Styela clava: one gene and its partners. Each later gene encodes a partner of the first gene's protein in a complex. Links are inferred from orthologs where the notes say so. Each region holds a gene or a part of one and is shown in the gene's direction. Other genes may lie near its edges.

Evidence for each region.
Region 2: armadillo repeat-containing protein 7-like (region 1) and small nuclear ribonucleoprotein Sm D1-like share a complex: the UniProt entries of both Homo sapiens proteins name them as parts of the minor spliceosome. The link is inferred for Styela clava from reciprocal best matches to the Homo sapiens genes ARMC7 and SNRPD1.
Region 3: armadillo repeat-containing protein 7-like (region 1) and pre-mRNA-splicing factor ATP-dependent RNA helicase DHX16-like share a complex: the UniProt entries of both Homo sapiens proteins name them as parts of the minor spliceosome. The link is inferred for Styela clava from reciprocal best matches to the Homo sapiens genes ARMC7 and DHX16.
Region 4: armadillo repeat-containing protein 7-like (region 1) and putative small nuclear ribonucleoprotein G share a complex: the UniProt entries of both Homo sapiens proteins name them as parts of the minor spliceosome. The link is inferred for Styela clava from reciprocal best matches to the Homo sapiens genes ARMC7 and SNRPG.

The regions. Positions count from the first base shown.
Region 1 is NC_135259.1:3,197,018-3,205,768, reverse strand, and holds armadillo repeat-containing protein 7-like, read left to right. Parts: upstream 1-5,475; 5' UTR 5,476-5,536; coding exon 5,537-5,611; intron 5,612-5,814; coding exon 5,815-5,931; intron 5,932-6,607; coding exon 6,608-6,840; intron 6,841-7,180; coding exon 7,181-7,328; 3' UTR 7,329-8,206; downstream 8,207-8,751. Other genes in the region: transmembrane protein 14C-like, read left to right, coding at 3,055-3,130, 4,085-4,186, 4,400-4,487, 4,681-4,744. UniProt on the Homo sapiens protein: As a component of the minor spliceosome, involved in the splicing of U12-type introns in pre-mRNAs.
Region 2 is NC_135254.1:11,227,337-11,234,030, reverse strand, and holds small nuclear ribonucleoprotein Sm D1-like, read left to right. Parts: upstream 1-5,006; 5' UTR 5,007-5,064; coding exon 5,065-5,436; 3' UTR 5,437-5,865; downstream 5,866-6,694. Other genes in the region: uncharacterized protein LOC120344877, read left to right, coding at 1,137-1,328. UniProt on the Homo sapiens protein: Plays a role in pre-mRNA splicing as a core component of the spliceosomal U1, U2, U4 and U5 small nuclear ribonucleoproteins (snRNPs), the building blocks of the spliceosome.
Region 3 is NC_135261.1:8,620,688-8,629,014, forward strand, and holds the start of pre-mRNA-splicing factor ATP-dependent RNA helicase DHX16-like, read left to right. Parts: upstream 1-4,769; 5' UTR 4,770-4,788; intron 4,789-8,327. Other genes in the region: uncharacterized protein LOC120329709, read right to left, coding at 1-136; peptide chain release factor 1-like, read right to left, coding at 881-2,200. UniProt on the Homo sapiens protein: Required for pre-mRNA splicing as a component of the spliceosome. Contributes to pre-mRNA splicing after spliceosome formation and prior to the first transesterification reaction.
Region 4 is NC_135255.1:6,374,611-6,381,163, reverse strand, and holds putative small nuclear ribonucleoprotein G, read left to right. Parts: upstream 1-4,670; 5' UTR 4,671-4,751; coding exon 4,752-4,985; 3' UTR 4,986-5,545; downstream 5,546-6,553. Other genes in the region: 26S proteasome regulatory subunit 6A-B, read right to left, coding at 723-866, 1,165-1,302, 1,809-1,871, 2,538-2,645, 3,136-3,261, 3,472-3,552, 4,185-4,265. UniProt on the Homo sapiens protein: Plays a role in pre-mRNA splicing as a core component of the spliceosomal U1, U2, U4 and U5 small nuclear ribonucleoproteins (snRNPs), the building blocks of the spliceosome.

The DNA.
Region 1 (8,751 bases):
GAATAATCCCGGGATTATACGGCTCAATCCCGGGATATCCCGATACCGGGATTTCAAAAACTGGTCCCGAAATCCCAACCCTAGTTATCATATTTGAAAATGCAAAATTCCGGACAGTGCATGACTATTATCATAAGACCGTATATATGCGCTACCGAAATGCTAAGGCTGCAAACGTTGTACGATACTGATGCTAAGAGTCGCAGTTCTTACCACTTCGTGGCAGCTCCTGCCACGAACGAACCGCGGCGTCTCTTGCTATGGTTTTATGGCACTATTCAGAAATCAGTTACTGGTATATTCACAAAGTCATGTATCAGATTTTATTTAATCATGCGGAATTATAACATAAAGTTTTCATTCTTCCTTCTCACAATCCATTTATGAACCAGCTCCAATTTTTCTAGCACTTCTGCATCGGAATTGTTTTGTCTGTCAACCACTTGAATACGTCTATGAAACACGGACATTATAGTGAGTGCATATGCAAAAGGTATAACTCGCTCATTTCATTCTCAAAGAACCGTTTAATAACTATTGGTGGATGTTCTTGTGACAAAAAGTAGAACTTCAGGGGTGGGTGAAAACAATTCTAACAATCTTGAAATTCTAGGAAACAAGGAGGAGCAGCGAGTCTTGCTATGAGAGAGAAGTCTCTTGTATTCACAATTTGCAAATTTACATTATTCTTTCAGTTGTTCAGTTCTAACTGTGTAAATAGAAAAATATCGATATATCTTATTGATATTATTTTCAATATCGATGTTCATTCTTCCAGTCCCATGATGAATACAATTGTTTAAAACGTGTGCTGAGCAGCCAACCACAATCAATGACGGGTTCAACATTTTCTTTAACTTTGCAAACACATTGTTTCCTTGCTCATTACGCCGAAGTTCTCCGAACATAGTATTGCAGTTGTCTCCTGTAAATGCCACACATTTTTTCAAAAGCATCATTTTTTCTGAGGTGTCTTTTACATACGTGGCAATTATGCCTCGTTTGCCTTGTTTGTAAACTGAATCAATTTTGATTGCAAACCACCTTTCCTCCAGTCAAAATACTGTATTGAATAATTGTAGAAAAAAGTTCCAGAAAGTTCATAAGTGGTAAACATCATTGATAAGGAAAACGCTCTGTTACATCATAATTCCATACAACCTCGTAGTAAAAAATATGCGCACGGCACAAAATAGCAATGTTCTGTATTAGCAGTGTGCACAGTACAATTGCAGATGCAGTAAAATTCCAGACATTTGAGCATTTTTTTAAATTCATCCCGGACGCAAAATTTAACCCTAAATTCCGGACATGTCCGGAAGGTATGACAACCCTATATTAAGATTACTAGAATGAAAGAATACTATTCTAAAATAACATAAAATATGTGATAAACTGCCAACTATAAATAAACTGGAATCGTATTTTTGCGATCTTAGAATTCGTCGTACTTGATTTGTTCATTCGCACACAAGATTCGTTTTTAAGATAGCGCCGTTTAAAAAATCACAATGTCTGCGCAAAATACGAACAATTGAAATTTATTTTATTGCATTCGGCTTCGTCGGTAGTTTCAGATTCATGACTTGTATTAACCCTATTAAAAAGGTTCAGCATTTAAATTAAGTAAAGTACTTTTAACTTGCTCAGGAATATTAATCTGAAAGTAACAATTTTAACATTTATTTTGGGGCTCCGTGAATAGTAGTCAACCTTTTCAAGGGCTCCGCCACACCAAAAGTTTGAGAACCCCTGGCACAGAGGATGTCATCATTGACGCGTTTATGTATTTTTATTTGCAACGTAGCCACAAAATGTCCTCTTTGATGCAGCGGATGTTGCTAGGACATAGAGCAGAGGTACCTTTGGACGACAACTGCGATGTTCGAATAAGTTTTTTTGTTTAATTGTTACCATTGCAACATTTCTTCTTGAGTCGCTGATATGCCAAGATTACCGTCTTTGCAAAATTTTGATATCTCAGCTGAAGCCTCTGTCTTCCTGGCCAATTCACCAATGTCAGCACTCTCTTCAAAGCTATACATACCATCATTGATCAGGTTTTCAATACATGCTTCATTCTTCCTGTCGAAGAGTTCTCGATGCATCTTGCTTCAGGTGAATAGAAGTTATGAAAGTAATAAGTGAGAGAAAAAAGATACAAAATGGGGCATGCGGGAAGAGAGTGTAGAAATATACTGTAGTGAAGTTTGCGTCGTCGTAGCAACTCCAAATAGCAGTTTGTATCTACAAAGACTTGTCACAAAACGTTATAACTTGTTTGCAATTCAAGTTTTAGCCGTGCGAATGGATTCCATAAAACGGAGTCGATTCCCCGAAAAATCGAATTCGCCATGCCCACGCAAGACGTGAATATATTTCATTCCTTGTCTGCAAAAAGATATTTTTCAACGTAATTATGGCTTGATCCTAGGCTTTTATAATCCTAATATATCTATAAGTTCTCGGAGACACATAGTTTATCATCAATATACCCAGCACTTCGGTGAGTGAAGCATACAAGAAATTTTCGAATGTCTATTGCCAATGAAGCAAGATGGTTTAATCAATGGCGAGTCACGGTCTCTTGTCCGGTTACAAGTGCATGTGATAAGTAAGTCAGTTATTTGTTTTCGGAAGCATGGACTTGAACAAACACCTACCTACTAATCCCATACCTCTATCGTACCTCAGCCGGACGAAAGGACATAGTTCGCCATATGATAAAGCAGCCTCTCTGCCCCGGAAGAATATGTAAATCCTGTTCTCTCCTATCTGATACAGTTGTCAACTTGTTATGTAATATTTATGATTCTATCTTTATATTGTGGATGGCCATGCTTATATCAGAGCCATTATATAATGACTCTGCTTATATGATGGCCTTGAGATTTCCCTATGTGGTGGCACTATAGAGCAAGTGCCATCAGCTTTGCAAAACAACCTTGGCCCATGCACAATTGCAAAGGTTGCTTCTGTATCAGAACTAAAGGATTTACTGATTTAGGGTAAACGTTTTGAGCAATCAGGAAAACTAGAGTACGTACTGAAAAAATGGCAGTCGATTGGATCGGATTTCTCTACGCTGCGACTGTTGCAGCTGGCGGCATTGTTGGATATGCTAAAGCAGGTAAGGGAAGAGATTTCAGATTTAGACTAACATCAGTTGTATTTCGATGTTATCGATACGGTAACCTAGATCTAAGGTTCTGACTAAATACTGAAATAAGTAACCTGTTAATGGCATAGCGGCAATTTATAAGCAACACCAGTATGCACACAATTCAAAAACCATGAGAAAATACAGAAATAAACATTATTTTTGCATGTGTGTTTTGGCAATTACAAGCATTAAATAAGGAGACTCTCAGACTCTGGAAACAAGATGTCATGTATATTAAAAACAGGACTTGAGCTGATTCTAGCCTAATTAGGATGGGATTTACATGGGAGAGGCAAGCTGATAAGACAGCTTAATCATACTGTCATATGGCGAACCACGGCCTCTTATCCGGTTGCCAGTCCATGTTGGGTATGGAATTAGACAGTTATTTATTTCCGGAAGCGCGGACTTGATGGTGGAGGAAGCCGGAACCGACCAGCGGTTAGGTGAACCACCCTACGGGAGCGAGCAGTTCAGCAATTCTTTCACGCATAACTATCCTCGCATGGGATTCGAACCTGCGAACCCATACAGGTTGATCAGAGGAGGAATTATTATTATTAGAGTGATACCTCGGTAGTCGGACATATTTTGTTCAGGCTCGAGGATGGTTGTTCAACTACCAAACTCTCTTTTTTCAACTCGATAGTTGTTCTCACTGTTTTCCTCCCTCTTCCGTTTACAACTACCTTTCTTTGGAGCCATGATCAGCAGCAGAAAGGCAAGAAAAAGAACTGAATCACAAAAATTTCTCAACACATGTTAACTTGATAACTACCTAAATACCGCAGTATTTTGGACTCAAATTTTTCGGTTAAGGACCGGGTTGTTACAGTGTCGAGTTGTTTGGTTATCGAAGTATTAAGTAGACTGCAATACTATTAAATACTTAAATCAATCATTTTATCTTTTTATGTTTAGGAAGTACAACCTCATTAGGAGCAGGTTTATTATTTGGAGGGCTTGCTGGTCTTGGTGCATATCGAACATCTAAAGATCCAAGTGATCTCTGGCTTACTGTTGGTAAATATGTATTCATTTTTTTCCTGGTGGTTTTCATAATATTCCGAGGTGCAAGCTTTTGGATGATGAAACTAGAAATACATAGATAAATCAATTTTGAATATAATTCGAATTTTAGATACAGAAGTCTATATAACGTGAATAATGCGATTCCAGGAATGTATTAAAACATGTACCATACCATTTCCTTGAAAAGCTTTCAATTATTTTTAGGAGTGTCTGCATCACTTGGTGCAATGATGGGTTGGAGATTCTACGGGTCAAGAAAGTTTATGCCTGCCGGACTTGTTGCATTATTGAGGTGAGATATTATTAGAATGGTTAGGTTTAGCTAGGTTACAAGCCCTCATTTGAACAAAAAAAAGTTTTTACGTTGAACAATGAATTGTCAGCCAGGACAAATTTATTCGAGTGTGCACTATTTGTTTATAACACTCATTCTGTAATAATCCTCATCTGTTCATTCTCAAATTTCTTCTTTTTTACTATTTTAGTGCTGGAATCCTTGTGCGGAGTATTTGTAACCTCACAACTGGTAACCAAGGAAAAGTGGAATAATCACCAACATTGTTCTCCATTTTACTTTTTTTGCTGCTATAAACCAGCTTTCTCAATATAACGAACCAGTGAGAGAAATGAGAACTATTTAGATTATGAAATATATAAGAATATGATGGGACTCTGAAGTGTGCTTCTGCTCTGTTGCACCCTAGTGACTGAAACTAATGATGGAATATCTTTTCAATTTGTTTTCTATGATTTTTTGTTTGTTATTTTTTAAAATTATGATTGCCTTACAGCATTTTTGTCAATCATGTCATGAATGAATTTTTATGTTCTATTTTGACAACAATAGTACAATACATTCCTGTTGAAATTTTGTTTGTCATGTTCCTTCCTATTCATGAACCCTGTCACAATTGAAAATGTACTTTTAGTTGCTTTACTATTTGCTATTATATGGTGTTCACTCTAACCCTGACACGGGCCCAATCTGGACCGCCTGATGAGCTCGAGGAATTTGTTGAGATTGCAATTAAATTTAGTGTTGGCACAAGGCTTATTGTTTTCCACTTTTGCTTATGTAACACTTTTACGTCACACTTTTATGGCCCGCTAGTCTAGGTGGTCAAAATTTTGGCCCCTGGTCCAAAAACCTTGCCCACTCTGACCAATGCTGTGGACAACTAGAATATCAGAGCTAATGTAGATAGGAAACCATTCCCTGACATTCGCTTGATTCCAATTCATATACACTAGAAATGGATACTAGTTAGATATGTTTCTAACCTGGACAACATTGTTTTAGCACAGTTTACTTGAGTAAAAATATTGTAATATTTTCATGAAATGTTCACAACTCATAAAAGGTTACAACAAAGGACTCGACCGAAAAAAGATTTGAACAGATTTGACTATCTGCAGGTGATATCCTCATATACAATTGTGTTTGTTGGTAGTCGTTTGAAATTAGGATAGGATTTATATTATTGTGACTGGGGGATTGTATTCTATATTTGTTCGAAAGGAGTTTAGTAACCTATATTCCAGAATGTCTGATAATAGTTAAATATATGTGGAAGCTAAAATTCCTTGGACATATGATAATGGGATTAATTATTTTTCAGGCTCTCGTAACTGAATTTCAGCAAACAAAAAGTGAGTCCGACAAAGAACAAGTTCTAGCGAATCTTGCTAATTTTGCCTATGATCCAATAAATTATGAATATTTGAGGAAATTGCAGGTATTTTAAACAACTGTGTGGAATGAAAATCCCCTTGTTGAGGAGTATATAGCATGCTTTAGACCAGTGGTTCTCAAACTTTTTAAGCCATGCCCCCTTTTTGGAATTTTTCAAGTCTCACGCCCCAGCCTGAAAAATAATAATTGACTACAAATAATTAAGCTACAAATAACTGATAGTAAGGAGAAAGTATGTTTTTTCAAACAACACATTGAAAATACGTGGATGGAACGTAAAATAAGGAAATATAAATATGCAAAATAGGTGAGCAAGATCAAATCTCACAAATATTTTTATTTTAAATTAGCTTCACAGCCCCCTCAAATAATTGTCTACGCCCCCTTGTGGGGCGCGCCCCACCATTTGAGAACCACTGCTTTAGACTTTTCCATTTATTCTTCTCCTATTCAATATATTTTGGCTTAATTGTCGCAGCAAGAACTACGAGTTTAGATCGCCAATTATCAGTCCATATGACCTGGAAATCTGGAATGTTTTATTTTCATCAAAGGGCAGGCCTCTTTCATGAATTTATCGCATGTAAATCTCAAATCAGTTTGAAATTTACTTCCCTCTGCCAGTTTAGATGGAATTATTGATATGATGAAATTCAAATGCCATGTTCTATTATCCTAATCCAAGTGTAAAAATCTGAAAGCGCTCATTGATCTTCCAGGTAGTCGATCTTTTCCTCGATTGTTTGACAGATGATGAAGACATTAATTCAAAAATTTCAGAGTTTGGAATTGCAGGACTTTGTAATATAACGGCAGATCCTAAGTTCAGGGATTATGTTCTGGATGGGGATGATAGTGTACAACTTATCATGAGATGTCTTTATAGTGTTAATACCGAAACTGTTCTTTCTGGAATGACAACATTGATGCAGCTTATTCTACCACAATCAAGGTAGGTAAGTTATTGATCCATAATTGGACTCAGATTGGCCAAGATGCTCAGTGGTATTGGGCATCATGATAGGAATACGCTTGCCACTGCACCTCTGATTACACTACATGGTTCACTGAATCTGCATCACTTGGAGGATAATTATGTGCAAGAAGATGGACTTATCGCTGCCATAGGGTGGTTCAAGTAATGCTAGTTGGTTACTGCTACCTCCGCAATCAAGTCCATGCATTTGAAAACAGAATAACTGGCTAACCAGAGCTCGAAATGGACTGGTAACCGGATGAGAGTCCCGCGTTTGCAATAAGATCAATCTTGTCGAATTGTGTTTCAATTACAGGAACTTGATTATAACTCCTGCATTGGTCAAAAATTTGAAAGTTTTCAAAGAATCGGAGGATAATCGAATCTCAAATCTTGCCACTGTATTTTTGGAGGATTACTGTGTGAGTGAAAATAAAGGAAGAAAGAGGTCATTGAATACCTAAAGCAAAATTCGAAGGGTTCACCTGAAGAAGGTTCAGTTGTTAAATGCTGTTGGACATTGTCATGCATTGATCTCAAATGTATAGCAAATCCAGTAAAATGTGATGGTTGGCTTGAGTATACAAATGCTTGTTTGAAGAAAACTGTTTGGATAAGGATCCCCTGATGAAAGTACTTCAGTATTTCTCCGCAGTAATACTATCGGGGATCTAAATAGGAGCGACTGGTATAAAGACTGCCCTCAATTCATCCGAAATGGATGAAAACTTTGATTGTTAGTTTTTAGCACGTTGTAATGTTCGTTTGCACTCTTTTTCACCGATAGTTGTGCTTCTAAGGCAGGGCTACTCAACTGGCGGTCCGAATCCGGCCCTCCCGGGTATTCGTTTCGAACCGCGCCTTATTCTTTATTTTGGATCATTAGCCCCACTTTTTGAGTTTCCTTTCCTAAAATAACTTTTATGGATTTAAATATATATGAAAAGAACTATAACGCCATAATAAACAATCCTGATTAGCTAATAATCATTAGTCGGCCGAGGAAGTGCGTGTTTGAGGATGCCAAAATATGGAAATCTGGAAAGACCGGACCCAAATTTTTTTGAAGTTTTGTATGCGGATCTTCAGTAAAAATAGTTGAGTAGCCCTGCTCTAAGGTACCATATGCAGAGTGTGAAAGGGATTTTGGCCACATGTAGCTGACTCTTGTGACATTTGATTCCGAATGACTGAATGCATACTTCACTGTAAAATGAAATTCATATTAAAAAACACATGGGCCGGAAGTTAGTGTTTTGCTATTATGGATTTGATTATTGACGGTCGTGGCTTCTGATCTGTATCCCCCCATTTGGTGTAAATAAAACGATTTGGGATTTTAGTGCTTTTAATATATACCTACTCCCTCCAGTTGAAACAGGGTTTTCCAGATATGTTTCTGGCCCAGAGAGCGACTATAGTGTGACAAAAACTGACAATGAGGGAATTTCGAGGCCATAATTGTTATGATCTTGCGTAAATCGATGCGACATGTCGGGCAAAGTTATCAGTATCTGGTAGAAAGATGCAATGAAAGTCTTTCGTTAGGATTTGTATCGCTGTCTCCGTTCAGTAATTTAATCAAAAATCCGAATGCAATACTTATGCCAGTCTATGCAATAAATGTCATCATGAGCCATACATTAAGATTGCATATGTTATTGGACGGGTGTTCTCGTGCCCAAACCGAGCGGGTAAAATAACAGTGATTTCCCTAAGGACAGTACTGGATTGGATATACAAAATTCCGAACTCCCGAAAGGACCATTTATTCCCTCCCCATCTCCCTTCCCCACCATTTTTATGTGTTTTAGATTGGCATGGATCTTCAACATGCATCCAGTTTCTAAATTTATATTCAATTACAAAACATATTATACACGCGGA
Region 2 (6,694 bases), on another chromosome or scaffold:
GAAGCATGGTAATCGGAATATCGTCAATAAGTCGACATCAATAATTATTATGATGAAATGCTAACAAGGCAGTAATGTCGGATAATGCAGAAAACGCTGCAAAAACAAGTTTTCGTCGCGAGGAAATCGCAAGTATAATCAAACGAGAGAATACTCTCGTCGTTGGTTAATAAATTGGAAACCCGTAATTTTTATTCAGTACGAAAGTCGATTTAAAAAAACTATCGTTTCCATAAATATCCGTATACCAGTGTCGGTAATGATAAAATTGATGGCATAAAAATGGGACGGTCAATTTGCGAAGGTGATAAAGGAAAACCAAAGCTAACACAAACGATATAAATCAGAATAAAATTAATTTGAATTCACTCCTTGATATTTGTCTTTAACATCTGCCACCGGCGTGTATTATTGCCAAGAATATGAAAACCCAACTTTAATGTCCCATTCGGAAAAGAAGTGGATTCAATTGGTTGTTATGATAGGTTTAAATGCGTGAAAAAATATCGCAATTACGGGGTCATTACGTAATTGATTTTGCCGTAATTACGGAATTGATTTTTGTCAATTACGTGCAAGCCTATTACCAGTTATTGATATTTGATCAATTCTCTATTACAGTGGTTTTTAGTGGGGTCAACGGAGTCCGAAGGCACTACACAAAGGAATTTTATAGGTTCCATCATGTGCTTCACATGCATAGGATGATATCAAAATACCGTACTCGGATTAGTCGCGCTCGCACAAGGCGAAATGTCAAAGTCAACTCGTAAACCAGGCTACAGTAGATCACATTTTCCTGGTCATATAAAAAGAAATTGTTTTATATCTTCATTCAAAGCAAAATAAGGTCTCATCTGCTTAAATTTGATGGAACGTTTGACATCTTTTGTTCTTGGGTAATGTGAGATTGTAGGCTATCCTTTAAAAGTTCACGATAGATCATATCTTGTATCATCATCCGAATGTGAGGCAGATTTGATGAAAAACATTGTTTGTGAGCAGTATGGACTATTCGAACAAGTCATCAAAATTCTTGAAACCCGTTTTCTATTATTCCATTTCCATTTTACCATGGGTAAATTTATTTCCTATAAATGTTTTGTTTTCAGTTTAATCGTTGATCTATTTTTCAGAATGGTGCCGTTATCGGAACATCTACAAACTACACGAAATGGGCTCAATATCAACCCAGGATTGGAAATGAATTCACCATGTACACAAACGTATTTCTACAAGCTGGGCTTACAACTTTTGCTTGGTGGGGTGAAGGCATGTACAACGCACCGCCGACATCTAATTCGAATGGTGTTGTTTGTAAACGCTGACGATTTATAACAAATGAGCCGTCTTTATAAGGCGTGATTGAGGGGACCGAGCGTCTAACTTTTATGTGATTTTTTCAATATTTGTCATTTATATAATACTTTTTATGGCACATCAAGAAAGAACGATTGAATAAACATTCTACCAAACGCTTGATTGTTTAGGCAAGATATTGTGAAGGCGATGTATTATTTCTTCACATTATTTAGAAACTGAATATTTTACGCTGTAAAATTTTCAAAATAAACCTTCAACACAAAAAGGAGAATGTAGGATTGAGTCCGGTCATATAGTGTATTCTTCTTGAGTACAATTTATTTTTAGAACTTTTTACTGAAGGGTTTCCACATCCTTTTTTCACGCAAGCCTTGGAAAAGTACATATTCACTTATTTGCATATGGATGCTTTTGTTTTCGAGTTTATCCTACTTATCAATTGAGGAAACATATATATGACCCTTGACGCTCCACTTCTCGTCTGTAATTTTCTTATACTTAATCTTTACAATTTTATTTTAGGGTTCGGGACTTTGCTTTGGGCAAACTTAAATATAAAATAAATTGATTTGTTTGAAGAGGTGGTAGACATAGGGGTTATAGAATTTAATGCATTGGCATTTAAAATGGAATGCTTTGAATACAATTTCAACTTATGATATTCAGTACTGTAGACCCATTTGATGATTTTCTGAAAGATGTGTGCACTCTTTAAGTTTAAATAAAGCAAATCGTCACATGCGAACCTTGACTTTAACACGAAATGCAGTTGGCGGGTCCTGTTGTTGTCGGAACATTTGAAATACAAGATAGCAATGCTCAAACATATTAACACGGAGGCCTAAGCAAAATATTTTACCAACAATCTCCCAATCTCCTCATTCATCTCAGGCTGAAGGTGGCTGGAACAGCGAACCCCCCCCTCCCCCCCCGTCATATATTTTAAGAACACGGTTATTTCGAACAGAACTCGTCAAACGATCGCTGGTCGATTACGACATCCCCCACCATCAAGTCCATGCTTCTAAAACGAATAACTGGCTAACTAATCCTGACATGGAATGGTAATCGTACGATGTTGCACCTTGCGATCTGTCCCCAACCACAGATAAATTATATCTTAAAAACTACCCACATTGGTAGGCATAGTTGCGTTTTAAATTGAAAGAAATCTTCATTAATGGTCATCAGGTGTTGTTTGTCTTATTGTTTTGTTAGTTAGCAGGTAATTTATTACTGATCTGATACACAAACTTGGCACTGTCAAATGATGATTAGTGTTTAATTTATTTTCAGGAAAAGGGAAGATAACCCATTATCAGCTGCTTATATGTCCCATCAATATTTGAATTTTCGCCATCCCCAGAGTGGAAGAGAATATTTAGAAAAAGGGGGATTTTGAAGAAAGGCAAAAGGCAGGACCATTTCAACAAATTTTGTTAACTTGTATGCGTTGCAATATTTGCAGTTGTTAGCATAAACATTCAATGTGTCTTTCGACTAGACCTACCACAATTTAAAAAAAGCCGCCTACACCCCTTTTCACTAGAACCATAATACTGTAAAATATTTGATATAAATTACCCCCGAGGCATCATATCTTCCATTTGAAAGGGCTGTGGAGGCAGATACATTTGTTACTCTAAATTGTTGAATGTTACTTTCAGGTTATCTTATCCTTGCTTATATATATCTTGAGGTTAGTGACTCCAACTGACTCATGCATGCCACAATGAAAATTCTCTTGTGTACCCATGAAATAAGGCTGTTGGAGCCTTCAGACCTTGAAAACAGTCGAATCTGAGCACGATGGATTCATGTGAAACACGTAATATGCATTTAGAGGCAAAAATATCCCATCCTGAGCAGCACCGATCCACAACCTCCTGCCTATGGAATCAAAACATTAGACAAATTGGTGTACTGTGCGCATTCTCAAATCTTTGCGAATCAAGTGTGCCTTTTGACTAAAGAAAATTTAGCATTGAAATGGTCAATATCAACCTAGTATCTGCAGATAAAACCAATTGTTTTTTAAAAATACATTTTTGATGTGCTTTATTTTTAAAATATAATTTATAATTACTGTAAAGTGTGTGATACATTTGGTACCATGAATACCATTTGCAAATTATCTTGGGTTACACCCCTCTCAAATAAAAGTTTAGACTCTTAAGTCATATCTCATAATATTCTTTAAAAAAAGTTGCGGCTAGCCGGCTACCCATCAGAATTTCTTTTCAGATCACAAAGTCGAAATATTACGCCTCGGTAAGTTTCATTGGCAACTGTATCTGGTTGTAGTATCGGTGTCCAACGTTTGACTAAAACCTTCCCTACCAAACCCACCAAAACAATTTTTTTTCTTGATAGGGTCGTCTTGAAGTTGCTTTCGTTAAAGAACAATGGACACTTTATCTCCACCAATCCACAGTAATCACAAGTTACTATGTCATTACGATAAGCATCAATAAATGGATACTGAGAATGTATTATCAAGTCACGCAAGCTGTCACACAAGGGGAGCCAGTTATTTGTTTTCAGAAGCATGGACTTGGATGGTGGGGAATGGTCGTAACCGATCAGCGGTCATGTGAACCACCCTCGGTGGGAGTAGAGCTGCAATCCTCTCGCACATAACTATCCCCGCACGGGATTGTGAAACTACCAGAGTGATCAGAGAGGCGGTGGCGAGCGTATTCATAGATGGCGAATTCAATTGAATTCTGGTTATTTTTTGCATGACCACTGGTGTTAAACTTTAGTTATCTATTCAACCTTTCACACTTAGTAATAGATTACCTGCTAATTAGGGAAACAATACCTTATAGCAATTGATTAATAATTCTTTATTGTCTTACATAGGTCAAGTCTGCAACTGCAAGTAGGCCCACGCCTAGGCCTACTAATAACAGTAGTTTGTCATCTGCTTTCCATTGAAATGAGGGAGCTTGTGAATATTTAAAAAAAAAGATATCGGCACACTATCACTCACTGTCAACGAAGTGCTATCTGCAAACAGTGAAACACAGGTAAGATGGCTTCTGGACTTGACACCAAGCAGTTCTGCCAATAGGCAATAGATAATATCCACATTGCGCGACGTTCCGGATCTTTTGAAATCAGTGGAATATAACTGAAGATCCATTTCGTTGTCTATACTTTACGTACAGCCAACGGAACAATACGAAATAACCATTTTCAACAGGCAAACAAAACGGAAACGTATAATCCGACTTGCAACTGACAGGAGCCAAATGGACGTTTTTGTTTTATTGCCGTCCAGTAAACAAGGTCACGTGACCCGTGTAAGTCCTCTATTTGGGTGTAGCTCTCTTGGTTCTTTATATTTTTGCATGTTTTTTTGTTTTTTACTGGTTGGAAAAAATAAATTTCACTTAACTTGACTTCAGCAAGCACGTAGGCTACTACTTCTTTTGACAACACCTTCTAATCTGAAATTTGTACGTTTTAGCGTAAATATATACTACTACGGTTTTAGCCCTTACTTAAAGATTTTGTTCGCTTTCCGGTTCTGATATCAGTTTTATTTATTTATTTTCTTATTATTATTTTATCGTCTTTTATGCTGAATATGGAGTCAAAATGAACTCATTACGACTTCACTGGAATATGCGGTCAAAGGTTATCACTGACCACTTTAGGCACTGTTGTAAAACATAATTCCCGCTTCGTTGACTGGCGTGTTTGTTGCGTTTCTGTTTTTCGCAGACTTCAGCTATGAAGCTCGCAAGATTTTTGATGAAACTCAGCCATGAGACAGTTACTATTGAACTGAAAAATGGTACCCAGGTGCATGGCACCATCACTGGCGTAGATATTTGTATGAATACGCATTTGAAATCAGTTAAAATGACTGTTAAGAACAGGGAGCCAGTCACCTTGGAGACACTCAGCATTCGTGGCAATAATATTCGTTATTATATATTGCCGGATTCTCTTCCATTGGATACCTTGCTCGTAGATGAAGGGCCTAGACCAAGAACCTTCAGAGACAGTCGTGGAGGCAGAGGAGGACGCGGTGGTAGAGGCCGTGGTCGCGGAAGAGGAATGCGTGGTCGTGGAAGAGGTGGCCCACCAAGGAGATATTAAAATAATAAGAATGCTGGATTTGAATATCGAGTTATTTGGGATTATTATTAAACAATTTTATGACCAATGAAATTTCCTTTCGACTTCATGCAGCTCAAAATAATCATATTGGCACTCTGTTTATCGTAATTTGACTGTACTTGCTGATAATCAATTATAAATCAGGGCTAAAGGAACTCCTTTTCAACCCTGGTTGTCTGGTTATCTAATGCTAGACAAGAAATTTGCGGTACACCAAAATTTTATCTTGCAGTTTTATTCTTAAAAGAAAAATTCATGTTTCATTGGGACTTACAATCATTTTCAAAAATTTCATCCTGCAGTCTTATTCCTAAAAGAAAAATTGTTCTTTTGCAATTCATTTCAACCATGTTTCATTGGGATTTACAATCATTTTATTACTGTATTACAACAATGAATATTTTACAATTGTTCTTTTGAATTTTTGCATGCGTGAAGAACTAATGTTTGTTCTCCAAACTGACAGAAATTAGAGGTATTCAGCAAGTCAATATGCCTTGTTTTTGAAACGGGTTTCCACAGATTATGATGCTCATTATGTATGAGAAGTTGTAACTGCATCAGATATTGCAATCATCTGCTTTCTCAAATATTTTTCGCCGCCACCAGACAGTTGAATTTGTTAGGAGAGTTCAGCAAGCAGGTTGAATAGTACGGTACTCCCTCAAAGTTACTTGGACATATTGCTATGAATTATCTAGCTGTTGTGGAAACTAGATTATATCTCAGAAAGATATATCTTATTTCTGACAGAACTAATGTTTCCCATATTTTTGAATGACACGGAATTACATGGGCCTGTTTAAATCGGGTTCGACAGCTTGGACTGAAATACTTCAGTCAACCCGAACCCCCCAGTAATCAGACACCAATCAAAGTTGATATATTGATTAACAATTTTAAAATATTATTTGAAAGATATTAACAAAGGTATATATTTCATTTATACGGAGCATTAGTGTGAAGACTGTTCCTATTTATTGCGAATAAGTTTCTCAATTCAAGGAGCGTTCCTTACTACCCTACCTGAATTAAATCACCATGTTCGTGTTATTGACCTTGTCCTCTGCCAAACTAATGAATTCTTGAAATCTCTCTCAGTTTCAATTGGCATCTCACTTTCTGCAATGCACGCAGCACATTATCTTTTAAGATTTGATAGTTTGGCTGCAAAGCTGTGGGTTACACATTGTTGTGTTGTGGGATCATGGAAAATCTACGCACACATTTTCTTCTG
Region 3 (8,327 bases), on another chromosome or scaffold:
ATCCACCATCTGTTTTTGCCGATCTGAGATTGAGAAACTGTCTTAATTTCTTCAGAGCTTTATCCCTACATCTTTTATCGTTTCCAGCTAACCGTCTGGCAAATTCAGCCTCGATTGAAGCAGGAGCCACAGCCATTTTGGGCTTTTCAAACAGGTAAATTTAAAATTATGACTAAAAGTCAAATATGAAAAAAACATAAATATATTTTAGAATATTATGGACATTAATAAATATTTGACTAATTCGTAATAAAGAACTTGGAACATGTGAACAATAGCAAAAAATTGGCATTTAAAAATATCAAAAAAAGATGCTAAATTTCATGCTCAATTATCAAGAGTTCACAATCAGTTGTTTATAAAAAACACGCTTTTCGACTATAAAAGCCATGTTTAGCAATCGGAAAGAGACACTGAGAAACAATATTTTTTTAATAGGATGGTCAATGTCAATACATTTATCACATTTAGTTTAAATACTGCAATAAAATGCCTGCAATACTGCCCAGTGACATCTCTCGATAGAACTGCCATCATTTTCACACCATGAAACAATATAAAGAGCATTCTTATACCAAATATAGATTTATAGCCAATTAATAAAAGGTATAATCCAAATATGTAGCCTACCAAATGTAGCCTGCCAAATGTAGCCTGTCAAATATGTAGATAATTTAACAAACTCAAGTTGCAATCAGCAACTCACTAGGTAATGTAATAACCTGTAGGTAATAGGTTCTGCCACTGATTCATTTGCAGCCAAGTCAAGTTCACTAAAAAAAAATATTTGATTGTACCTGTATAATAATATAAGTTAACAACAACATTTTTAAAACTAATTATCGTTTCCGGTAGCCTATCAATCATAATCAGATCATAGTTACTTTGAAACAGCTGATTTGACTTTCTTGTCATTAAAAAACAATTGTCCTTCATCAAGCAAAATTTTACTTGTAATATTTAATTCTTCCAATTGAGTTTTACTGTTTAATTTTTCCATCAAATTAAGCAAAGTTGTTTCACCATTAAGAAACTTTGCAATTCCATGGGTAGTGAAGCCAATTCTATGATCAGTCACACGATCTTGATGATAATTATAAGTCCTAATTTTATCGGAACGCTCCCGATTTTTGACCTGCTGTTGACGAGCTTTAGTGAGAGCACTTTGTTGCATACTATGTTTTTCTGATGCTAATATAGCTTCTAGCATTTGCATAGCACGATCCTTATTATCATGTTGAGATCTTGTAGCATTACATTCAACAATCTTTCCAGTTTTAATATGTTTTAATCGAATTGCGGATTCAGTTTTATTTGCGTGTTGACCACCTGAAGAATTAGAGCGTTTAAAACGTTGAACCTCCACATCTTTTTCATCAAGTGTTTCAGTTCGATTGCTAAAAACTGGAAGTAAAGCGACGGATGCTGTACTGGTGTGTATTCGTCCAGCTTTTTCTGTCTCTGGCACACGTTGTACCCTATGGGTACCAATCTCATTCTTAAACAATTGATACATATTTCTATCTATAAAATTTATATTTGCTGAAGACTTCTTCAATCCTCCAATATCAGTATACTCGACATTTAAAATTTCAAAATCATGTCCAAATCTTATACAAAAAGATTGATACATTTCGAGTAATTCTGATGCAAAAAGCATGGCTTCTTGACCCCCAACGCCCGCTGACACTTCGAGAACTGCGTTGGAAACTTGATTATCACCGTGCATTATTTCAAAAAGCTTCGACACAATTATTTCATTACATGACTCTATTTCTTTCAAAAGTTCTTCTTTTTCATCTTCTGCAATTTTAATTAAATCATCTTTTTCATCAGATTTAGCTTCAGTTAATGCTTCAGATACAAAAGATTCAACTTCTTTTAAATTATCATGAACACCGTACAGATTATCAATATCATTGTTCAAATTTTCCAATTTATGAATCGCAACCTTAGGATTGCTCCCAAAAAACTCTAATAATGAAGGTGGCCATTTTGTCTTTGAGCTAGATTCTATATTTAAACGTCCATAAGCAAACTTGAAATAATCAAAAAGATCTTTATGGTGAATCTTCTCTCCTTTCATAATCGAAGACGTAGACAATTGAACAGCATGTCTGATAATGCCACAACATGTAACTGATTTGTGTAATAATTGAGATTTATTGCAACAAGTCCGAGTGAGGAATGTTAGAAACATAATACAGGTTAATCCTGTAATTATAGTCTAAATAACAAACCTAGAACTGATGAACAACAGAATAGCAAATTCACAGATTCCAAAAATATCCCCAATATCTGAATATTTAGATATATGAAAATAAATAAGATGAAATTTGGTAGGAGACATTTCTTTAGTTCTTTACTGCTGTACTGCCTAACTGATACAGTGATATGGGACATGCATGCAATAAATTAAATATAGATGTTACTTTGACAGATTCATATTCAGATATTCTATTTCCATCGTGCATGAAGTATTGTACCGACACAAGTAATAAAAAAAATGGTAACAATAATATCAATTGAAATAAAGAGACATACAATATTACTGCAAGTGATAAATTGATCAAAATCTTAAAACTGTAACAAGCAATGATTTAGAGAAGAACATTTTGTTTGAGTAATAGGCGACTGAGTGGGGTGCCTTTTTGCATTGATAGCATTATGGAATTTGAAAAGAAAAAATTATGATGAATTATTTGACTGATAATTGTTGATTCTATAGTGAATTTAAACTATAAGTTATTTAGAACACTATATCATTGATATTCAGGGTCTCATGTAGTTCCTACCTAACATACTTCTAGTGGGCGTAGCATGACAATTTTTTCACGTATCAATCCTAACCCCCACCTGACTACACCATCCAAAAATTACATCATTACCACGTCACAGTGAAGTCTGAAAGTAATAGAGCCCTTCAAACTATATGAACTCGTCGCAACGATTCCAATAAGAGAGAGATCGATAACGTCGGTCAGTTCTTCTGTTCTTTAGCGTCGGCGCCAATGCCATTTCGGGCGATTGTACGTATATTTGGCAAGCTCAGTCTATGACGGGATTGTGATCTCGTAGTGACGTAATTTTTGGATGGCGTAGTCAGATGGGGGTTAGGATTGACATATCAAAAAATTGTTATGCTACTCCCACTAGAAGTACGTTACGAAAAAGGTACGAAAATACACGAGACCCAATATTCAGATATTTAAGTATTATCAAGGCATTTCAGTAAGTGTGGCCCTCGGCTAGCTTACGGGAGAGTGACAAGTGTCCATCCTCATTTTTTGTCCAACTTACGCCAATTGTCACTTCTACACTTCAACATTCAGTTCGACTGTCAGACTGTTCGATAACAATTCACTCATTCAGATTCTATAAGTTCAGAACTTTATCATAACTCACAATTCAGCAATTCTGTAATTGAATATTTCATGTTGCAGTGTTTCGTCCGCTTGAAACATGTAATAGCCTACCTACTCCACTCAATTACGCGAGTTACCGTATGTTATATCCCTATTCTACATGCGTCAGTCAGCAGACATATACATACATAAGCATATGAGGTCCCAACTTTTTTTTTTTGCCAAATTCAAATCCATTGCCAAATCGGATTTATACAAATGATAGTTTTGGTATATCCAAATAATCAAATATATATTTCAATATTATTGCATGAGGTCCAAATTTTATTTTATTTTTGTGATGTTATTTAGGTGATTTCATACAATGAATAAGTATACAATGAAAAGATTACGCAACTAACTGCAGCTAATAGCCATGCTGCAACAATGGTTATTTCCCGACCCTTGACCTCACCTCGCCAATGCAAAATATTACAATAATATTATTTTTTTTTTGAAGGTGTTTCAACGATCTGGTCATTATATAATAACTGAGGTTAAAAAAAATATTCTTATCTATATTTACACTTTCCGTAACTTTTATCTTCATTATGACGAGTATTGGGATAAGTTAACATTTGCATATTTGTCCCGGGGGGAAGGAAACCGATAAGACGGTCTTAATATAAGTTTATCCGACGCCATAATCAGCATAACAGCAACAATGGTATATATTTACGGAAAAACAAATAAATGAATATTGATCATGAAATCAGAAGAGCAAACCAAACCTCAGATTAGGTTTAAAACATACAGATATAGGATGGAAAGTTTTGCCAAGGAGGATAGGATAGGATTTACATATTTATCCCGGGGGATAGGAAAGTCGATAAGACGGCTTAATCATATGACGAACCACGGCCTCTCGTTCTGTTTTCGGAAGCATGGACTTGATGGTGGAGGAAGCCGTAACCGACCAGCGGTTACGTGAACCACCCTACGGCGGCGAGGAATCCAGCAATCCTCTCGCACATGATCATTCCCGCATGGGATTCGAACCTGCGATCCCACGAAGAGTAATCAGAAATGCGGTGGCGAGCGTATTCCTAACGCTTAGCACAATGCGCCACACCGCCGAGCCAAGAAAAGGTACGTGTTCACTAACCTGAAATTAATAAATGAATTCACACACACTCACATGTACCACTCGCAACCACAGAGATATTATAAAGTAAAAAAAACGCTATAAACTTAAAAGATAGAAAACAAAAAAAAAAATAAATAAAATCATAATTATGTCTGAAATTCCGCCTCCGATTAATTTAGAATTTCGACTCCGAGTCCCGCTACTAGCTTCACAATGGTAGCAAAGTGACTATAAATTCCGACTTTTTGACATTGATGAACGGCAACTAAACCTTCTCGATAAATGCAGAAATGCGAGGTTGGTATAATGGATTTTATTGGTGATTTCCGTGTACAAATGATATTTAATGAAATTCTGCTGTTTATGAGAGATCATATACGGCAATTATCGTAAAGTAGGCCTAGTTCTGTAGTTGGAAAGATAGGTACGGTAATCATATGACATTACCGATATGATTATTCAGCCGTCCTAGTTTGTACCGCACTGCTGATTTACAAGCTAACGGTTGTGTATTATTACTGTATTGCTGTAATGGTCTATATCAGTGGCCAGTGGTTCTCAAACTTTTTTAGTCCCAGAGCCGCATTTCAAACCTCAAAGTTATTATATTTGATGGTGTAGCGTACCGGCAATGTATGAAATAATTATCCAAGTTCAGAATATCTTCTAATATGATCTGACGTCAAGTTTTCTCTCAATAGTCCAAGTCTTTATGCTATTTTATGTCATTTATTAACAACTCGAACAGTAAACGATCCAAAACAACCAAACACTCCCCAAAGGAACGAAAAGCATAAAATAAAAATAACAGATACCAGGCAGTAAAATGCAAGAAAGACCACATACACAACAAAAACACTGACCAACCCTGAAATCCAAGACAACTCTGAATAAAAAACCAAATGACCCCTAGAATCTGGTACAATGAACTAGCTACTGCAATTTGTAAAACAGGCCGAAAGTAACTTATGACAGGCATTTAAAAAGACTATGAACAATTCTATAGGTGCACAACATTTGAACAATACTGATGAAAGCTAATTCCACGATAAAACTGAAAATACAACACTACGGTAAATGAACTGTAATGGCACTGTACTGGTAAAATCAATAACATGGTCCCTACGTCAGCCCACTGTCCAGCACAAAACATCCGACAGTCACACAACACAGACAAACATCCCTGAAGACCAGACGCATTCACACAGACATTCAAAACCCACCAATCTAACCGAAACACTCAGACGACTCCACTCTGTCACACACAGCATACACCAACAGACCACGCTGCCCCCGAGAACCGATCGACCGTGTCGCAGCGTCTAAACTGCTAGAATACCAAATATGGAAACGATATCACATGACGTCATTTAACAGGCAAAACAAGGGTCGTCACATTACCCCCCTCTTCTAGATGGAACATTATGAAAGAATGTTTTCATCTCTAAAAAAAATATTTGAAACACGAAAAGCAGTAGTCAAAACCAAATTATGTCCACAAATGTCTTTAAAATATGCAGGCCGTCTACCCTCACGCTTAAGCATCCGTAAAGTTTGTCATTCGGGATTGAGTCCACCAACGTCATCGAAACGACCAAATTGATGTTGCATATCTCCATTGGCTCAACAATGGCTACTATGTTAGATCTCCGGACGGCCAAGGCTGTTGTAGCTGAACTAGAACAACCATTCCCGAGCGGCCGGTATAACCACATCTTCACTATAGTCCCATGACAGCAGGGAGAAGCTGTTTGGTGCTGTACCTTAACATCCTGTCCCTCAAGAACAAAACGATGCGACGAATTTGCCAAGATAGTCCATCCGTGACCCTAGATCGGCGACGGCAACGGTATGCTCCACAGGCCAGCTTTCAATCGTCAGGTTGACATCAAGTGCACCATGAGACACTAACGACTCGCCACTGGCAGTACGCAATGGTACTGGAAAAGAATACAGTTCTGAAATGTCCGAATTTCCTGCAACGTCGAGTAAACAGCGGTGTCTATGAGCGAGACACCCGAACCGAATTTTCCGCAACGTCAAGTAAACAGCGGTGTCTATGAGCGAGACACCCGCACGTGACCCTGGATCGGCGACCACAACTGTATGCTCCACAGACCAGCTTTCAATCGTCAGGTTGACATCAAGTACACCGTGAGACACAAATGACTCGCAACTGGCAGTACGGAGTGGCACTGGAACAGGATGCAGCCCCGAAATGTTCGAATCTTCCTGCAACGTCGAGTAAACAGCGGTGTCAATGAGCCAGACACCCGCACCGGTATCAATCAAAAACAAAACAGGCACGTTATTGACCAGAGCCTTGACATATCATCCATTAGTCCAAGTAATAGAAAAAAAAATCATAGTTCATAGAAAATATCCTGGCGTGCTCTCGCCAAAAATTGTAGCGTACCGGCAATGTATGAAATAATTATCCAAGTTCAGAATATCTTCTAATATGATCTGACGTCAAGTTTTCTCTCAATAGTCCAAGTCTTTATGCTATTTTATGTCATTTATTGACAACTCGAACAGTAAACGATCCAAAACAACCAAACACTCCCCAAAGGAACGAAAAGCATAAAATAAAAATAACAGATACCAGGCAGTAAAATGCAAGAAAGACCACATACACAACAAAAACACTGACCAACCCTGAAATCCAAGACAACTCTGAATAAAAAACCAAATGACCCCTAGAATCTGGTACAATGAACTAGCTACTGCAATTTGTAAAACAGGCCGAAAGTAACTTATGACAGGCATTTAAAAAGACTATGAACAATTCTATAGGTGCACAACATTTGAACAATACTGATGAAAGCTAATTCCACGATAAAACTGAAAATACAACACTACGGTAAATGAACTGTAATGGCACTGTACTGGTAAAATCAATAACATGGTCCCTACGTCAGCCCACTGTCCAGCACAAAACATCCGACAGTCACACAACACAGACAAACATCCCTGAAGACCAGACGCATTCACACAGACATTCAAAACCCACCAATCTAACCGAAACACTCAGACGACTCCACTCTGTCACACACAGCATACACCAACAGACCACGCTGCCCCCGAGAACCGATCGACCGTGTCGCAGCGTCTAAACTGCTAGAATACCAAAACGATATCACATGACGTCATTTAACAGGCAAAACAAGGGTCGTCACAATGGTCACAATGCAATGTGACAAATATTGTTTTTTTGTTTCAATTTCATGTTGTTATTACTGTATTATTTATCTGTAGTGCATTACATTTTCAATTTCTGGTTGTATATCAGCGTAGTTTACTTTTATCAGTATTATCTTTTAGACCAGGGGTTCTCAAACTTTTGGTGTTGCGGAGCCCGTGAAGAGGTTGACTATTATTCACGGAGCCCCAAAATAAATTTTAAAATTGTTACTTTCCGATTAATATTCCTGAGTAAGTTAAAAGTACTTTACTTAATTTAAATGCTAAACCTTTTTTAACGGGTTAATACAAGTCATAAATAAATCTAAATTTTAAAGATAAATTACCGTATATATATATTGAGGCTGTAAATTTGACACTTGACAAACATATTAATAAATTAGGGGTCAAATCTTTTTCTTTTGATATTTGGTGACCGTACATTTGAACCCACGTACATTTGAACCCATGTGTATATCCACGGGTTTAATCTATATGCGGGTGCTAAAACCCATGGGTTAAGGTTAGTATGGGTTCAACTATCCGAAAAACAAAAAAAATTTCATAGGTGCAATAGCATACAGGTGCAATTGTCATGGGTTCAAATGTAATGGAACCATATTTATTGAGGCTGTAAATTTGACACTTGACAA
Region 4 (6,553 bases), on another chromosome or scaffold:
TAACAATAAAGAATCAAAAACTACATTACAGTAAGAGAAACTAAAATCTTGATATATAAATATAGTTTAATTTCATTACTTTGATATGTTTCATTTAAGTTTTATTAACTAAGTCATATATGAATTAATCAAGCTTAATTGTGATATTTGATTACTATTCAAGTCTCACGTCAACAGAGATTTACTGATATGTGATGAATCCCCATAATTCTATATGGTAAGAGAAGCACTTGACATTCTAGTGCAGGGGGGCGCAGCAGGTGGCCGGCGGGCCACAACCCGAGGTCCCAGCCAACCAAGCCATTTAGTGTGGCCCTTATCTACACCCAAATTTTCCCTGATCAAGCATAAAATCCTAATCTGACAGTTTGTTAACATCAGATATTAACAAACCATGCAAGAACTCAAAATTTCAATTTTCCCACTAAAATGTTAATGTTAAATAACTCATATTTTACATATCAGAAACTTTCTTAATTTGTTGTGTACATGGAAACACTGATTTTTTCGTGTGGCCCACCTAGATGTTTGAAGTATGTTAGTTATATGGCCCATCGACAAAAAATGTTGCACACCCGTGTTCTAGTAGGTACCGTAGTTGCCATTTTGCCCAGAATGAGTCTTTTACGTTCTTAGTGAATGTGTGTAATGTTGCTTTGAGCATATCCTCATTAGTTAGAAAGTATTTCATAATTATCATTAAATTTTGAAACTCAAAATACCTTAGTTTGCGCAGCACAAGCTCTTGCCAACAAAGTTTTTCCAGTTCCAGGTGGCCCATACATTAGAACACCTTTGGGTGGTTGAATTCCAATACTGACAAATCTATCTTTGTGAGTCATCGGTAAAACAACCGCTTCGATTAACTAATAGAAAAAAATAAGAAATAAGATTAACTAGTAACGAAATGATAAAAAACTATAGAATCCTAGATTATAAGTGACAATGAATCTTTTCACTAATCCCACAATTTCTGTAAATAATAAGCAGTTTTTCAATACTGATAGATAAGATTTATTTTTAATTCGGCATGGTACAAAATGATAAAATACAGGATGGAAATTCGGCAAAGTTGCCAATACTTGCACAAACAAGGTTTAAACAATTTTCTTGATTTTTGTTACTGTTTGTTTAATTTTTTTCCTACTTTGTATGAATGATCACCTCTTGAATTTGTTTGTCAAGTCCTCCTATATCAGAATATTGTTCAGTAGGTCTTTCATCAACTTCCATTGCTTTAACACGAGAATCATATTCTGTTGGAAGCTTTTCCAATATTAGATATGAATCCTTATTTACACCCTGAGTAATTTTAAGAAAGGATTAAATCAACTTTAGTAAATTAAAAAAAAATTAAGATTCCGATTTGAAAACGAAATGGCCATGTAGGATTTTGGGACCTCCCGTAGTATGTGAACCAAGATGGTGGACACCGGAACGTAGTACGAGTGCAAGGTTAGGGTTAGGCCATAATTCCAGGGGCCATAATTCCAGGGACAAATACTACGGGAGTCACTTGGCTAGTCCCTGAACTAGTAATAGGACTAAAATAAGGAAAATTGAAATAAAATCATGGCCAAACCCAACATGGCACACACACGTACTACGTTCCGGTGTCCGCCATCTTGGTTCACATACTACCGGACCGGTTACTAGAGTACAGTACCGGATTTTAAACTTCGAAATATAACACACACAGTCAATGCAATAAAGTCAGTCATTCAACCTGTATATAAATCAAAGTTTATATTCCAGATTTTTTAAATCTGTTTCAGAAGCAACCTGGCAAACACTATTATTAATCTTACCACAAGATCACCAGGAGACATATCTTCTGGTTCAACAAGACCAATCACAGGCAGGAAGTACGTCTAAAAACAAAAAGAGAGAATATATTGATTCATCAAACCATAAAACGGATATAAATTATATTAAAATGAAGAATCAAAATTTGAAAGCCTCTAATGAATGACTGTTTGCTAATGATCTGGCCGTTTACATACACTCACTTAAATAAATGAAACAGATTCAGTTATATTGTTCTCTCAATATCTAACTAGTGCAGCGGTTTCCAAAGAGACGCTAATTGAGCCACAACAAATTTACTTTCTGTTATGTAGTGTCTGCCTCTATTGTTACATAAAGATAGAAATAGACACTACCTACTGGAATTTCGCGAGCTGCAGTTTATTTATCTGCTGAATCGAGTTTAGCCAACATGAGTGATTTTTTCATCATTCTGCTGACTCGAGTTTAGCAAACATGAGTGATTTTTTCACCATTCCAGAGGAAAATCAGGCAGAGATGAGGAAGAAGAGTTTACCTTTTACCTTTATTCCTTAGGCCTACATATTTACTAACTTTAAAAGGTATGAAGTACACATTAACGATCATAAAATTGAGTTTTATTTGATGGTAGCAGTTTTTTTCTAAAAGTTTTTTCCCTGATAATTTGGCGCTCCCGAACAAAAAGTTTGGGCACCACTGAATTAGTGTATACACATAACATGCTATATATATAAAATCAGATGGCATACTTGTCTAGTTGATGTTTTAATCACTGCACATTTCCCCTTGCGCTGAGAATCTAAATCAACATTTGCTCCGTCCTCTTCCGCTTGCTCTTGAGGATCAACATCAAGAAGCTGAAATATTTCATTTTTTCATTGTTTTGTAAATACGGTAATTAAAGTCGTTTAGAGAAGATTTAAAAGGGTTATTCATTGATAATGATAACCAATCAATATGACATGAGATTAGTTGATGTCAGTTCATAAAAGCATCTTTTGATTTTTAGAATAGGAATATCATATTTATCTTGGGGGAGCAGAGAGACTTTAGGGCGGCGTTATCCCTTTGCCAAACCACTGCCTCTCATCCAGTTACCAGTCCATGTCGGGTATGGCAATAGTTTATTCAGATAATGAACTTGGATTTGCCGTACCCAACCAGCGGTTATGCGAACCACCCTACGATGGCTAAGAGTACCTACATATGTCCCAAAGCAATCGAATCCTTGCAGAGAAATCGAAGGTTGGGATGGCAAGCGTATTCCCCTCTCTTAGCATGATGTACCAACCTCCTGGCTAGAAAAAATATATAGAGTGAAGTTTCAAGTTTCAACATCATACATACCTCAATGACATTTGAGACAAGATATGGCAGCGTTTTGTTAACTTTAATTTTTTCAGCATTTTCCTTTATTTTGTCTTTCATAGCTTGCAATTCATGTGATATTCTCATCGTCTCACTTCGCATAATCTGGAAAGCAATTCAACATAAGGTATATTTTGCTCCGAAGCATTCTTACACAGTGAAAACAAAAATTTGGCACTAAAGTTCTGTCAAACAGTTTGAAAATGAGGGATTAAAAAAAAAAATTGAGAACAAAGAGCATTATATAAATATCTATATACCGTAAATAAATTGTTTGTGAATATATTATTTAAGGTAAAATAATATGAAGAAAACCTTAATTTCATTATCAAGAAGTTTCGTTCGACTTGCAATTTCCTCATTGCTCATTTTCATAACTTCTTCACCGAGTGCTTCCTAAAAAAGTCATATACAAAGTTAAACAGGCATCATTGGATGGCAAGCTCAAAACACGCTGAAATTGAAATTTTTTAATAATATAAAATAAAAAATAGTGATTTTTATCAACCTTTAAACCTGTTACTCAAGTGTGTGGTCGTGTGGAGTTAATAACTATTACCGGTACACTACCGGTATTTAAATCCAAAAAGCAATATTCAAAGTTTTTCGAATTTGGCAACAAACTGACAAATCAAAACCTTAATTCAGAGACTGGGCATTCAACTTTTAGGTAACTTATAGCATGAAAGTATATATGTTATATATATTCATTTTCTGACTATATAGCCAGCATAGGCTAACTGTTAAGTATGAGTATAAGTTCATTTCGACTCTATAATCAGCATAATAGACGATAATATAATTGAAAACAAAACTGATTATAGAATCAGGAGAGCAAACAAAATCTTAATTAGGGTTTGAAGCATACAGATTTTAGATGGAAAGGTATTGTTAAAAGAAGTAGTAGTATTAAAAGTAAAAGTATTAAAATCAATTACTCAGTGAAAAAAAATATACAAAAAAATAAGTAATGTTGATTATTAGTGCCTCATCAAAATTTTATCTAACATTGTTTGCGGTTTTCTCACCTCGACACTGTCAAACATATCCATTTGTTGTTCGTCTCCAGTAGGACTTTTTAGCTTCTCATCAATTGCCGGAGGTGCCATCTTCAATTATACTACTGCGACAGCGATTTAATTTCTAAAAAATTGTGTTCTAATAGAAAAATATATGATGATAGCTTGGAGTTTCAAGGTACGGCACAGTACGTAACTTCCAGACCTCTAAATGTAAATCCGTCCCTTCTGAAACGACAGAACAACAAAATCTGACAATGCAAATATATTAGATGCTTACTCATACTTTTGCCACTGGAGCGTTACGGGTAGTTTTTTAGGAAATAAATACAATTTTGGTTGAATATTTTTCCTATTTGTATATTTTATGATTAAATAATTAATTAATAAATAAGTTAAGACCAGAGTAAGCATATTGCATCATTTACTCCATATTCTTTTTGATGAGCTCAAACGCTAGGGGGAGAAGCAAGCTACTTCTTAAAATAAGGACGCGCGTTTTGATTGCGCTCAGTTCACTTTCTGCGCACTGTATGTTTCGGTATTTGCTGTTGGATTGTATCGCGTAATATCAAGATGAGCAAGGCCCATCCACCAGAATTGAAGAAGTTTATGGATAAAAGATTGGATTTAAAGTTGAATGGTGGACGATCTGTTACGGGAGTTTTGCGAGGATTCGATCCTTTCATGAATCTAGTTGTGGATGATGGAACAGAGCGCAGAAAAGACGGGACCACTGCACCCGTCGGAATGGTGGTCGTTCGCGGAAATTCGATATTAATGTTGGAAGCATTGGAAAGGATTCAATGATTTTTAATGAACTAATACCAACCACAAAAAAACTGATTTAACAATCCGTGATTGTGCATAGACTTATAAAAACATTTCGATCTATTTTCGGTCTTGCTAATTATCGAAAACAGCGTTTATCATAGTTTCTTTTTGTTTGTGCTGTTTTCGGTAAGTTGTAAGAGCGATTTTTATTTATGTTTGTATACCCTACTTTGATCTAGTGTAGCTTCCAAACATGTACTACTTAAATACTTGATTGCAAAACAAGCTAAACAGTGACTGCTTACCTCCAATAGTGATGGTTTGACACTATTGTTTCTATACCCCCAAAGTGGCATTGCGAACCATATGTATTTTAACTTAGCATATCATTGGGAAATAGTATATCTGTTAATATTGAGCAAAATAAAATGCATAGTTTCCTGTGGCTCTAATTACCTTCATTCTGTCATTTTTAACTGTTGCAGTTGTGTAATTTCAGTTCATGCTAGATCTATGTATGAAGGTAATTGAATTGTAAGTCTTATTTTCTATGTGCCAATAGCATTTTGCTATGGAATAAAATTTTTAAAAGTGAACGTCTATGTTTTAAATCTCAACACAATCCTATTGAGAAAGCCTGCAATGTGATACACATAGACGGATGTGCATATCCGCATTCGCTTAGAAACATTATCCCATAACGAATGCCTGTCAAAATGGGCTGTTATCGTCCTATTAATTGTTTGTCGTTTTCTTTGATCCTTGTTTTCTTGAGATATAAGCAAAGTATAAAAAGGGAAGCCGGGAAAATAACTTCTCCCAACGGATTGAGGAAATAAAAGAATAATACCCAATTTTGATATTTATATGATTCCAAAATCAATTAGATTGCAAATGAAGTGATGTTCCAAGACCACCTCTTACAGTGGTTCCCAACCTTTTATGGCTCGTGGCCACGCTGTTTGTTTATCATTCCAGTGTTATTTTGATTGGTAGATTCCAAGTTCCATTATGTTCAAACAATTCATGCACTAAAAAAGGGAGGAACACCATGTGAAATAACCTCATCAAGCAACGAAACTAGGAAGAACGGAGAGTTTTCTTGAGAAGTGGATAGTAAAATCAGTTTTACGCCTAGCATTGTGCCCCCCCCCCCCCCTGACCTAATATTTAATGCCGTACCCTACTTACTTTCTGTGCTCAATCCGAATGAACTACTCACTTATCCTGCCTCTTTCACCTTCCCATTTTAAAAGAGCCGGCACAATGAAAAGTAACTATTATAATGTATCAAATATATCAAAATTTGCAATAACTAAAAAATAAAACATTTCAGTAAAACATGATACCCATGGTGAAATTGAGTAATCATTTTAGTACAAAAATATATTCTCTATTCTCTGTGAGGGATAAAACGCTGCTATGCTAAAATACAGAACAAGGCACATGTGTCGCCCAAACTACCAAAACAGTCCAGGTAGGGCATGTATAAAACCATCAATGTGACAATGTAGTGACCAAATGAACGATTTGAGCTTTGGACAAAGCTGGAGCTACAAGGTTATACCGATGACATTATGTTAGGCTCAGGGCTGAAAATCAAA